Caenorhabditis elegans: one gene and its partner. The protein of the gene in region 1 purifies or fractionates together with the protein of each later gene. This does not show direct contact. Each region holds a gene or a part of one and is shown on either strand. Other genes may lie near its edges.

The links.
Region 2: the proteins of nmy-1 (region 1) and parp-1 fractionate together in Caenorhabditis elegans (co-fractionation; one large-scale study listed by BioGRID). This does not show direct contact.

What each region holds. Positions count from the first base shown.
Region 1 is NC_003284.9:2,905,936-2,913,671, forward strand, and holds the start of nmy-1 (Myosin-11), read left to right. Parts: upstream 1-3,591; 5' UTR 3,592-3,620; coding exon 3,621-3,751; intron 3,752-3,799; coding exon 3,800-3,992; intron 3,993-4,039; coding exon 4,040-4,196; intron 4,197-4,253; coding exon 4,254-4,405; intron 4,406-4,487; coding exon 4,488-4,508; intron 4,509-5,175; coding exon 5,176-5,268; intron 5,269-5,323; coding exon 5,324-5,486; intron 5,487-5,953; coding exon 5,954-6,097; intron 6,098-6,146; coding exon 6,147-6,620; intron 6,621-6,674; coding exon 6,675-7,736.
Region 2 is NC_003279.8:2,920,339-2,926,486, reverse strand, and holds the start of parp-1 (Poly [ADP-ribose] polymerase 1), read left to right. Parts: upstream 1-1,773; 5' UTR 1,774-1,792; coding exon 1,793-1,885; intron 1,886-1,950; coding exon 1,951-2,670; intron 2,671-3,319; coding exon 3,320-3,442; intron 3,443-4,536; coding exon 4,537-5,114; intron 5,115-5,196; exon of another isoform or gene 5,197-5,301; intron 5,302-6,148. Other genes in the region: Y71F9AL.1 (tRNA (guanine(10)-N(2))-methyltransferase TRMT11), read right to left, coding at 543-773, 825-1,067, 1,123-1,242. UniProt on the Caenorhabditis elegans protein: Poly[ADP-ribose] polymerase modifies various nuclear proteins by poly(ADP-ribosyl)ation, a post-translational modification synthesized after DNA damage that appears as an obligatory step in a detection/signaling pathway leading to the reparation of DNA strand breaks and programmed cell death.

The DNA of each region.
Region 1 (7,736 bases):
TTTATCAGTTTTTGTAACTTTTTGGAAGTCATTTTGCAATTCGTAGATCCAAAGAAATTTTTTTTTTCGAATATTATGGTCTAGATTTCTTGCAAATATTAATATTAAAACATTGTAGGGGTTCAAAAATGCTTCAAAAATTTTTTTGAAAAGTTTTACTATGACATTTGGTCATTTTGAAACCATAAGAGTGAATAAACTTTCATTTGTTTCATCAATTTTTTGCCGTCCAATCATCCTACGTAATGTTCGTTGTCACTGTCGATGATCATCCTGTTCAACATGACTGTTCGGCAATGCTTATGTGAGAGGAAGGAGAAGGTCTCCCGCCTTAGTCGGATAGTAGGTTGTGGGCTTGAAAAGAGAATTATAACATAAATCGTTATGGTAAACAACATCATGGAGAGAAGAAGCCGCTCCGCAAGCCAGCCGCTCCACCAATTCTCTTAGTCTGTTTCCGAGTATTGTCGTTCAATTGAGCGACTTTTTTCCGTCTACCTCTGTCCTTTTTTCCTCCCCCAGCTCGTCCAATACAGAGGGGTGTCAGTTGTCAGTTTTCAACTTCCACTCATGACTCATAAAATATGCCAATATTTCCGTCCGATAAGCAGGGCGGGAACATTGATTAGCACTACTGATAGTGTAACGGCATCACCTTTTTTTAAAATACAATGATTCATATGAAATCTGTTTTTTTACACTGCTTTTTCTTTGTCGTCTATTTTTTTTTTGAAATCTTGATTTTCAACTCGAAACCTAACAATAAGTTTTGATAGTCCTGATTTTTTTGCAAAAAACATGCAATTTGAATCTTCAAAATTGCCCACTGTCTGTGATTTGCATACTTTGCATATATCTTAATGATCTTCCCAATAATATAATTTTAGCTGCTTTAGAGCAGGTTCAGCCGAGTTTTGACTTTTTTTATTTCAAAAAGTTTTACATTTCAAAATTTTTTTTTGAAAATTGAAAACAATACTGATGAGTTGTTCAAAAAGGTGAAAAAGCATACAACTTCAGCTCATATTTCTCGAAAAATATATATGTTAAACTGCGCTCCATGAAACCCCACTTTTAGAAAACTTGCTCAAGATATGTAGCTTTATTCGAGGGTGTTTTAGAGAGTTATATATCTTACAAAGTACAAGTAATTTATCAATTTTCAGAATAACATTTTTTGTAAACATCTAAGAAATTTTTTGCACAACTACAACTCGCCTGAACCTTCTCTGGAGCAACTAAATTTTTTGAAGGAAACACAGGATGTCGAATAGAAAAATGTATATCTTCCCTAGTTAGGCTTGAGTCATTGCCGCATATTTTTGCCTCGTTGACACTTTATTCATATATCTGATTACAAAAGATGTCCTTAAAATTTCGGTGTCAAACCATCCACCCCTTGGGGCGGTGATCACAATCTCCGTGAACACCGGCGTTCTGTTCTGCATATCCATATCCGAAAAGTACACGCATCATACGGGTCATCTATACGCAAGAGTTGGATAGGTGACAAATAGTTTCTTCATGTTGTATGTCTGTATGTGTATATATCTATGTATGTGTGTGTGCGACTGTGCGTGTGTCTGTGTGTGTGTGTGTGTATGAGAAAAGGTGAAAAAGTTGGATGTGCTTAGAGAAAGAAAGAGAGCGAGGAAGAAGGATGAACGACAAGAAGGTTGGGTTGGCGCGCGAATCAAGGACATCAATTCTTCGAACCAATCCTTCACACACTCCCCCCCCCCCCCCCCCTTCCCTCCTGAATCCAGCCTGATGGTCGTGCGGCAACCTCGTCCCCGCTGAGTTATTCTGACTACCTGGCGGCGATGCGAACGAAAGGTCCTTCTTCGTGTTCGCCTTGTTCGCCGCTGTTCACTTTCACCGTACGACGCCTTCCCTTCCACACTGCCTGAGACGTTTTGAGAGATTTAACTCGACACCCTCACTGTATCCGTCCTCGATCACACACACACGTCTAGTACCACATAACAGCCGCTTAGGAGGAGAGGCGATTCTTCGTTTCTTGTTGGAGAACAACTGGACACCTTGTCCGTACTTTCCATCCTCTCACCAAACCGCCTTCTCTCTTTGTTCATCGTTCGCTTCCTTCAGCACTTTTATTTATAATCCAGTAATTTGTCGTCTTTCTGTTTTCCATCAACGTTTTGAAATCCAAATCGGTTACATTCCTTGACCTCGATAGCGTTTTGTCCCACATTATTTATATTTGAGTCCATTTTTAGATTTATTTGTTTTAATCCAACTTCCCCATATAATTTTTCAAATCTGAAGGTTCCCAATTGGTAAGTTGTTAGGAACCATTTTTATGGCGACAAAATGACCAAATATCAAAATAAAACTTTTCACAACAAATTTGAAATTTTTGAAATTTTTTTATTGACAGTGAAATAGTGGCATTTACCGAGATTTTGCCACTTTTTGAAAAAAAATTAGAGCACTATAAGTGTTTTAATACAAATATTTTTATCATAAATAGACCATAAAATTAACTAGGAAATTTTCTTGATCTACGACTTTCACAAAGTGGCAAAAACTAAGATTTTTTTCAATTTTAAAAATACCATTTTAAATTTTTTTAAATTTTTTGAAAATATTTTTATTATGAAATTTGTAGTGTCATATGCATGTTTCAAAAATTGTTTTTCCCCACTAGCGCTACACTACCTTTAATGCCAACTTGAAACACTTTTGCATTGTTCGCTTCATCTTCATTTCCGTTCAAGACCCAACCAAAAAAAAATTCCAATCCCATGTTTCTGGCGTGGAACGGACATCAAAAATGTTTATAAAAACGAATCGTTCAAAAAAAATCGTACAGATGATTCATTCCCAGGAACACATTGTTTTTGTTGGCGTTTTCCCGCGTTTCCTCCCAGATTCTCCGCCTTTCCAAGCTCCGCCTGCATGAAAGCATTTGTCTAGAATTTTTTAGAATAATATTTTCTATCACAAGCGTTGGAAGCGATTTTGAATTTCCATTTGTCTTAAGAAAGTCTTGAAAACAAAATCTTTGTTTTCAAAATTTAGTGTTTGAAACTATTATCGTGGTACAAGAATTACCAAATATCATTGTAGAACATTTAAAAACATTTTTTTATTTCCTGTCAAAACATGCCCCAGTTTTTGTAACTTATGATTTTGGAAGCCGAGCAAAAAAATTTTTGCAAGTTTTATACTTTAATTTTTTTAAATTAATTTTTTTTAAACATAATTTCCTTAACACTAATATTTTCAAAAATGTGGCAATTCACCACAGCTTTCACTAGAAAGTTGAAAAAATCCAAAAATTTTTGGAGTCTTTCATTATGATATTTGCACATTTTGGCCTCTTGCATTTGGTCTTAAAACGACCAAAACTGTACATGATTGTTTGGAGAACAAATGTTTATTAAATTTGATTTGCTTCAATCGTACACGTGACTCACCTCTTCTTATTGTTTTATTTTTTGCGCCCATCCGCTTTCCCATCGCTTCTCCGCCCACTTTCGTTTCTCTTCTTTTTTCAGTTTCGGCTCATTTTCCGCTCTTTACATCTTATAGCAAAACGGATCTCAATTTCAATTAAAATTGAAAACAATTTTCAGATATTACGAAGTTAACAAATGGGTGACCTGCAGTACCTGCAGGTACAGAGGGCGGCCGTTGCCGATCCTGCCACACTTGCCGCGTGGGCACAGCGGAAACTGTGCTGGGTACCAGATCAGAACGAAGGATTTCTCATTGGATCCATCAAGTGAGTTTGCGTGCTCTCAACTCATTCCGTAATCGGTAGTAATTTCAGACGAGAAACAAACGATGAAGTGCTCGTCGAGCTTGTGGACACGAGTCGCCAGGTCACAATCAGCAGAGATGACGTTCAGAAAGCGAATCCACCAAAGTTTGACAAGATCGAAGATATGTCAGAGTTGACGTATTTAAACGAAGCGTCGGTACTTCACAACTTGAAAGACAGATATTATTCTAGTTTAATTTATGTGAGTTGAGAAAAAAAAACATTTTAATTTCAAAATAACTATTTTAGACTTACTCTGGTCTCTTCTGTGTTGTTATCAATCCTTACAAAAAGCTTCCAATTTACTCGGAAGATTTGATTGAAGAGTTCAAAGGAAAAAAGAGACACGAAATGCCACCACACATATTTGCAATTGCTGATACTGCGTACAGAAGTATGCTTCAAGGTGAGCAATATACATACTTTCCAAACAAAGCGTTTGCAAAAATCATATTCTTTTCAGAACGCGAAGATCAATCGATCCTGTGTACCGGAGAGTCTGGAGCAGGAAAAACTGAAAACACGAAAAAAGTTATTCAATATTTGGCTCACGTTGCTGGAGCCACTCGAAACAAGTCGCTAAATGCTGCTGCACAGCAAAATATTGTTCAAAAGGTTAGTTACTATAAATATTTGTTACATCTACTTTAAAAGGTATATGATGAAGAATAATAATTATTATAATTGATATATTTAGCCAGATGTCCGCAATCCGATCGTAAGTTTGATCTTGTTATCTTGCTATTTTGTTGTGAATTGTTGTCGTGACATTGTCGTGATACACTTTTCTGTGACTATTTCAGTAACAAAAAATATTGTTCCGTAACAATTTATTTATTGATTTTTCTTGTTCAGTACATCACCTTGTTCTAATATGTCAACAAAATCCAACAGAAAAAAACTTGTCTAATCATATCTAATTATGTTAATTGTTCTAATTGATTTGAAGAAGCAGTAACGGTTTTTGTGTATTTTGAAGGTATATACCCAAAATGTGCTCAACTAAAAAAAGTCGTAATAAGCCAAAATTGAGTATTTTGGCGAATGTTATCCATTTTTTCGAAATTTTTAAGCTGTGGAAAAAACATTTTTAAAAATTCGAGAACATTTTAAAGTTTATAAGTTCAAAAATTTTCAAACCGTTTCTCCTCCTTTAAGGAAATCAACAAAAAAGATGCAGTTCTTCCCCATTTGCTGCAAACAGATTATTATAAAAAATGCTTTTAAAATCCAAACGGCTTTCTCCAAACAAATTATTCCCAAAGAGCTTCATCCTCGAATCAAAAAATGTTGTTTTATTGTGCTCACAACCTGATCAAAGTCATGTTAATTCATTTAGCCACCACTGCAAAATAGTTTTACACGTTTAATATCGAAGTTTTCAGGGAGAATTGGAACATCAACTACTTCAAGCCAATCCAATCCTTGAAGCTTTTGGTAACTCGAAGACAGTGAAAAATGACAACTCTTCCAGATTCGTATGTGTGATATTTTTAATCTTGCCCCCCGTGCATATTTGGTTTTTTTTTTCAGGGTAAATTTATCCGTATCAATTTCGACATGAGCGGCTACATTAGTGGTGCGAACATTGAATTTTATCTGCTGGAAAAATCGAGAGTGCTTCGTCAAGCTCAAGACGAAAGAAGTTTCCACATTTTCTATCAGATACTCAGAGGATGCAGCGCCAAAGAAAAAAGTAGGTTGAGTCATAAAATCCAACATAAGAATTGGATTTATAACAAACCGAACGCATTTGTTTTTATTAGCCTGGTGAATCATGCGTGATTCATCATTTGACAAAAATGACGTTGAAAATTTTTAAGTAAAACCGTTAGGCCTTTTAAAAATTGAAACAGGAGTAACCCAAGTGGAAAAATGGTTATAAACCACTTATAAGTGTAACCAAATATCATAACAAAACTTTTCAAAATCAATGTTGAAAAAATTTAATTGACGGTCAAAAAAGTGCTGTTATTGAGTTTGTGCTACTTTTTCAAAAAACTATAGCACTACCGCATTTTTGAATCCCTACAGTGTTTAAATATCAACATTTTAAACATTAATTGATCATAACATTTGAAAGCCCAAAAGAGTGACAAAAACTGAGTTTTTTTCATGTATCAAAAAATTATATAAAATTCCACATTTAACTAATAATTTCAGGTGAGTACCTTTTGGAAGGAGTCGACAACTACAGATTTTTGGTAAATCGTGGAATAACTCTTCCAAACGTAGACGATGTTCAAGAGTTTCACAGCACAATCAACTCCATGCGCATTATGGGATTTGCCGACGATGAAATTTCATGTACGTAAACCATATTGAACCTGAAAATCAAAAAACCATGTTTTTTCAGCAATTATGCGTGTTGTTTCTGCCGTCCTTCTTCTCGGAAACCTGGAATTCACTCAGGAGAAGAAGAGTGATCAGGCAATGCTTCAGGATGACAGAGTGATTCAGAAGGTGTGCCATCTTCTTGGTCTCCCAGTAATCGAGCTGCAGAAGGCGTTCCTCCGTCCACGCATCAAAGTTGGAAGAGAGTTTGTGAACAAGGCACAAAACCAGGAACAAGCCGAGTTTGCCGTCGAGGCCATTGCAAAGGCCAGTTATGAAAGGCTGTTCAAATGGCTTGTGACCAGAATCAACAAGTCTCTTGATAGAACTCACCGCCAAGGAGCATCATTCATTGGAATTCTCGATATTGCTGGTTTTGAAATTTTTGATATCAATTCATTTGAACAAATTTGCATTAACTATACAAACGAGAAACTTCAACAGTTGTTCAACAATACCATGTTCATTTTAGAACAAGAAGAGTATCAGAGAGAAGGTTTGTTTTTTTTCGGAAAATGTAACTTGCAAAGATTTACAATAATATTTTCAGGAATTGAATGGGATTTCATTGATTTCGGACTCGATTTGCAGCCGACAATTGATCTTATTGAGAAACCAATGGGAGTTCTGGCCCTTCTTGATGAAGAATGCCTTTTCCCTAAAGCGAACGACAAGTCATTTGTTGAGAAGCTTCAGAAAACACACAACAAGCATCCGAAGTTCATTGTTCCTGATATGCGATCTAAGAGCCACTTTGCCGTTGTTCACTACGCTGGCCGCGTCGACTACTCTGCTGATCAATGGCTCATGAAAAACATGGATCCATTGAATGAAAATGTTGTTGGACTAATGCAGAACTCCACTGATCCGTTTGTTGCTGGAATTTGGAAGGACGCCGAGTTTGCTGGCATCTGTGCGGCGGAAATGAATGAGACTGCATTTGGAATGAGGTCTCGCAAGGGAATGTTCCGAACTGTCTCGCAATTGCACAAAGAGCAACTTACAAAGCTTATGACTACTCTTCGGAATACATCTCCACACTTTGTTCGTTGTATCATTCCAAATCACGAGAAGAAGTCCGGAAAAATCAACTCCAACCTTGTACTTGAGCAGCTGAGATGCAACGGTGTGCTCGAAGGAATCAGAATTTGCAGACAAGGTTTCCCGAATAGAGTTCCATTCCAAGAGTTCCGTCATCGATACGAAATCCTTACACCAGATGTCATTCCTAAAAACTTTATCGATGGAAAGGAATCTGTTCGCAAGATGATCACTGCTCTGGACATTGACACAAATCTCTACAGAATTGGACAATCCAAAGTGTTTTTCAGAACAGGAGTTCTTGCCCATCTTGAAGAGGAAAGAGATCTCAAGCTCACCGCTTTAATTATGAACTTCCAAGCACAATGCAGAGGATTCCTTTCTAGACGGCTTTACACCAGAAGACAACAGCAATCCAGTGCTATTCGTATCATTCAGCGTAATGGACTTGCTTATTTGAAGCTTCGCAATTGGCAATGGTGGAGACTATTCACCAAAGTGAAACCTCTTCTTCAAGTTACAAGAACCGATGACGAGATTCGTGCTAAAGATGATGAGTTGCGTGCAACAA
Region 2 (6,148 bases), on another chromosome or scaffold:
AAAAATAGTCTGAAATTCAGAAAAAAACATTTTTACACTTTCTTAAAGGTGGTGTAGTCGAAAAAGTCGAATTTTTTCTATATATTATTATTAGACTTAAAATTGTCTGAAAACGCCGAATTTCATGACGAAACTTCTTGAAAACTTCTCAAAAAAAAGTTATAACGGCTTAAAAAAAGACTTAAAATGAGTTAAAATTTGAAATTTGCCCGACTTGTCAAGCGGCTGGAAACTAAGTTTTTTGAAATTACCGTCTAATTTTGGGTATACAATGTTATTATCTTGCGTTTTCAACCTTATTTAGGTATTTTAAAGTCGATGGACGGCGAGATTTTTAAATTTTTTAAACCAAATCTCGCCGTCCATCGACTTTAAAAGACCTAAATCGAGTTGAAAACCCAAGATAATTAAATTGTATACTCAAAATTAGACGGCAATTTCAAAAAAGTTAGTTTGCATCCGCTTGACAAGTCGGTCAAATTTCAAATTTCCACTAACTTCAGGTCATTTTTTGAGCCGTCATAACTTTTATTGAGATTAACCTGAATAAAAGATAATTCAGGATCCATCGTTGTATTTCCAATATAACATCTATCACGTAAATTATATTTGGTTTTCAGCTCGGCTCGTCCTTCACCAATTAGTTTTCCGAAATAAACTTTCTTTGGAGCTTCATCACTGGGATTTTCGTATTCTTCCACTAGAAACAGCTCATTTTTGGGGGATTTCAGGCAAATTGGCGCTTTATTGAATGGGACCACGTCTAAGAAAGCCTGATTGAAAAAATAATTAATTTAAATTAGAATAAATTAATGATTTCTCACTTTAATCCGTTCAATACTGTCAAGTTTCTTTTTCCGCCCGATTGCAAAGAATCGAATCGCAAAGCTTTCCTCTAATTTATCGAATTTTTCTATTATTTCCGGCTTGTTATCAATTTGCTCATACATAATATCGTATGACTCTGCCTCGATCGATAATTCAATTGCATATTTGACTAGAATCGATCGTGAAAGCAGCTTCCGAACTTCTAGATGGCTTTCGAAATTGACGATGAACATGTGGTCCTGTAAGATAATTTAAGATAATTTTGTGTGGGGTTCTCGTAATAATTTTATATACCGTTGTGTTCAGCTTTTCCGATAAATCTACTTTTATTGAGAACATTGAGCAAATTGCTTCGAATTCTGCTATCCTGAAGTCTACATGACTTTGCGAGAAGATTACTAGCACCGGGAGCATTTTCTCTGCAAAAAATTGGAGATTTTTTCAGTCTCTTTCAACTAATGTAAATACGCTCTCTTGTGACTAAGCGCGCGCGTTTGAACCAGAGGACAATTTTTTTCCTCAGCGCTAGTAGCCCCTGAAAGAGTTATTCATACTTGAAAAAAGAAACTTTTCTATAGATTTCTGCATGAAAAATCAATCCTCAGCGCTTCTTCTCTTGCTTTTCCTGATTGTAATGAAATTTTAGAGTTTTTAAATTGTAAAAAAAAAACTAAACAAGTTCTTTTTGAAGGGAAAATTCGTTTTTAAATGCTTAAAATGCTTCAAAAAAAAAACAAATAAAAAAAATTGTTTCTGTGCATACACCGTCACGACAAAATGCAGACTTGCCATTGGTCTCGCCGCGAAAAAACATGTTTCTTTTGAAAGATTGTCTTAATTTTTTGATTTCAATCATGATTTCAATCAGAATTTTGCGATCTTTCAGCATTTTTATCTATTTTAAAGCTTTATAAATTAAAAATTAAATTTTTAAAAATCTTCCAGATTGTCATACGGGTCCCGGATGATTCATTCCAACGAGCCACTGCCCTACGCTATCGAATATGCAAAGTCTGGCCGGTCGAATTGTAAAACATGCAAAAAGAATATCGCGTTGGTGAGAGCTTTATAAAGCCTAAAAAGCCTAAAGCCTAAAATCAGCCTAAAAATTGAATTTTTCAGGATCAATTGAGAATGTCAATGAATCGCCCGTCAACATTCTTCGATGGAAACATGGATTCGTGGTTTCACTACAATTGCTTCTGGATAAAAATGATTCGCGGCCGAGATGACATCAATATAAGCTCAATCCGAGGAGTCGATTGGCTTCGCTGGGAAGATCAGGAAAAGCTTCGCCAGGAAATTCAACACTTTAAAACCGCATCGCCACCGACTCTGACACCCCTGTGCTCTACCACTACCGTCATTTTGTCCACAATAAAAACCGAAAAATCGTTGTCAAATCGTGGGAAATGTGGAAAATGCGGCCAAAATTTCGAGCGCGGCGAAATCAAGGCTCATAACAAGGGAAAAGCCAACCATTTCAAGTGTTTTCTGCAGGAATTTGATAAAATTTCCGGCACCGTTGAGGATATTCCTGGCTGGGCGGATTATGAGGAGAACTTTAAAATTAAGGCGGTTGGGGAGTATGTGGAGGCTTTAGCTGCGAAAAGGCGATCCACGGAGCCAGCTACCCCGGCTTCTGCCTCTCCAACACCACCAGAAGCTGAAACTCCAGTTTTATCTGCAGAAGGATCCCCGGAAAGCTCCAATAAACGTCCGGCAAGCTCTGAAATCATTGAAATCGACGGTGAAGGGAATCCAGATGAGAATGATTTTGCGAAGAAAAGACGAATGAAGAAGGAAGCAAGATTGATGGAGGTTCAGAAGAAGCGAATGAAGGTTTTTTTTTTTCAGTTTTAATGGAGGACTAACGGTTCGGACGATTTTGAACGTATAGACTCAAAATGAGCTCAAATAAACGAATTTCGTAATGAAACTGCTCAAAAAAATTTCAAAAATGTTTTATGGCGGTTCAAAATTTTGAGAAAATTACACTGATTTTGGCTAAAATCACGATTTTTTCCCATTTTTCCGTGTCACATCTGTCCGTAGTTGGCTTTTTTGGAATTATCGTCCTTTATTGCATACATTGGTAATTAATCTCATTTAATTTCGTCGATTAAGGTACATTTGAAGCCGATAGGTAACCAATTTCGATAATTTTTGGTTACCTATCGGCTTTAAATGTTATTTGATCGACGAAATTAAATGAGATTAATTACCAATATACGTAATAAAAAACGAAAATTCCAAAAAAGCAAACTACGGACAGATGTGACACGGAAAAATGGGAAAAATTCGTGATTTTAGCCAATATCAGTGTAATTTTATCAAAATTTTGAACCGCCATAAAATTTTTAAAAAAATTTTTTGAGCAGTTTCATTACGAAATTCGTTCATTTGAGCTCATTTTGGGTCTATACGTTCAAAATCGTCCGAACCGTTAGTCCTCCTTTAAAACGCTGAAAATTATTGGAAAAATTTACAGAAACAATCCGATCTTCTCTGGGAATACCGCCAGATCTTCGAAAGAATGCCGTACACCGACAAAATCTCTATATTACGAGAAAACGAGCAAGACATTCCAGAAGGACACGATCCGACTGCACAAGTACGGGTTTTTCAGTGAAAACTGGACAAAAACGTCGAGAAAATAGCCAATTTTCTGCATTTTTATACGAAAAAAATCGAATTTTTTTTCGGTTTTTTCCAGAAAAAAATCAGAATTTTCCCATTTGTTTTTCGATTTTTTAGCTTTTATAAGGGAAAATTGAAAAATCGAGGAAATTTAATCAAATTTTTGTTCGTTTTGATGGAAAAATATTGAAAACAAATTAATTTTTAATAAAAAAGAAGAAAATGGACAAAATTTGAAGCTATTTTTGGGGAAATCGATTTTTGTTTGTTGAAAAATCAGAAAAAAAAACCAAAAATTTTCGTTTTTGTTCCACAAGGGCGTCGTTTTTCCGATATTTCGAAAAAAAATTATCCATTTTTCCAAAAAATAGCCTAAAGTTTTGGTCATTTTTCTTGTTTTAAACAGAAAAAGGTCCCCATAATAATACAAACTTCCCGGCAAACGGGCAAATTGCCGAGAATGAAAAATTCCGGCAAACGGGCAAATTGCCGAGAATGAAAATTTCCAGAAAACCGGAAATTTGCCATAAGTGAAAATTTCCGGCAAACCGGCAAATTGGCGAATTGCCGTAATTGAAAAATTACAACAAACCGGCAAATTGGCGAATTGCCGTAATTGAAAAATTACAACAAACCGGCAAATTGGCGGCACTGAAAATTTCCGGCAAATTAGCGAATTGCCGGAAAATGGCAATTGTCAAAAAAAAAATTTCAAAAAGGCACAGTTTTCAGCGTTTCCGTCTTTAAAAAAAATCCCTTAAAACTTCCGGCGAACCGGCAAGACGCCAATTTGCCGGAATTGAAAATTTCAGCCAATTTTCCGATTTTGTCGACAAAAAAATTTGCCGAATTGCAATTGCCGCCCACCCCACATAAAAAACATGAATAATTTGTATAGAATAAGAAAAATGACCAAAATTTCAAGATATTTTTGGAAAAATCGATATTTTTTTTCGAAATATCGGAAAAACGACAGAAAAACAGAAATTTTTTGGTTTTTTTCCGATTTTTCAAAAAAAAAATTTTTTTTCGTATTTTCGCATTTTCAAACTTCAATTCTTTTTGCAGGTAATCGAACGCCTAGTGGATAATGCCCTATTCGGATGCCCAATCATTTGCCAAACATGTTCAAATGGAAAAATTGTCTATAATTCATCATGCCGCACATATGTCTGCACTGGATATGCTACAGAATACTCGAAATGTACTTATGAATCAAAGAATCCAATTCGAACTCCATTCGAAGTTTCTCACCGATTAACTGAAAAGCATAAGCTTCAAGATATTGTATTCAATCAAATGAGTGAACGACTTTATATAGGAGAAGAGGATGGAGAATCTGTAGTGAAAATTGATAAAAGAAAGTCGAAAGGTGGTACTCGTGGTGAACAATTCATTTATGCGGCTGAAGCATTCGATTCGACTAACAATGTTCCGATAAAAGTCGGCGATCTCACATCAACCAATACTCATATTATTAAAAAAGGAACAGTTGTTGATGCGAAATTCGCACTGGCCGATCGTTGTCATGTATTCAAAAATGAGATTGATGGAAGTCTCTATCAGGCGACACTCTCGTTTACTGATCTTACACAGAATAAGAATTCGTATTATAAGATTCAACTGTTGAAGGATGATCAGAGAGAGTGAGTTTTTGGCAGAAAATCCTCCGAAAAAGTCGGAAATTCAAGAATAGCAGAAGAAAAAAAAAGCGAAAATTTGAATTCCCCACCCAAAATGAGAACTGCTCAACCAATCAGCGATTGGTTCAATATTGGGTGGAGCACATCACTGATTGGTCGTGTAGTTCTCATTTTGGCGCGAGCAAAATTCTTTTTTTTTTAAATTAAAGCTGGTGTAGTCGAATTTTTTTATTGCTTTATAAGAATCAAAATTGTCTGAAAACATCGAATTTCATAATGAAACTTCTTGAAAACTTTTCAAAAAAAAGTTATGACGGCTCAAAAAATGGCCTAAAATTAGTTGAAATTTGAAATTTGGCCGACTTGTCATGCGGCTGGAAACTAACTTTTTTGAAATCACCGTTAAATTTCGAGTATACAATGTAATTATCTTGAGTTTTCAACTCGATTTAGGTATTTTAAAGGAGATGAACGGCGAGATTTTTAAATTTTTTTAAATCAAATCTTGCCGTCCATCGACTTTAAAATAACTAAATGAAGTTGAGTACGCAAGATTTTCTTAAATTACATTGTATACTCGAAATTTGACGGTGATTTCAAAAAAATTAGTCTCTAGCCGCTTGACAAGTCGGTCAAATTTCAAAGTTTAACTAATTTTAGGCCATTTTTTGAGCCGTCATAACTGTTTTTTTTTTTGAGAAGTTTTCAAGAAGTTTCATTATTAAATTCGGTGTTTTCAGACAATTTTGAGTATAGTAAAGCAATAAAAAAATGAGACGCCACCTTTAAGGATTAGCAGAAGAAAAAAAAACGAAAAAAATCGAATTCCCCCCAAAATGAGAACTGCGCGACCAATCAGCGATTTGCTCCGCCCATATTCGATCTGATTGGTGCAAAAAGTGGGCGGAGAACATCGCTGATTGGTCGTGTAGTTTTCTTTTTGGCGCGAGCAAAATTCATATTAGAAATGCGAAATTTTTTGGATTACTGTAGCCCCAAAAATATTACAGTAATCCAAAAACTAGGAAAAATTGCAT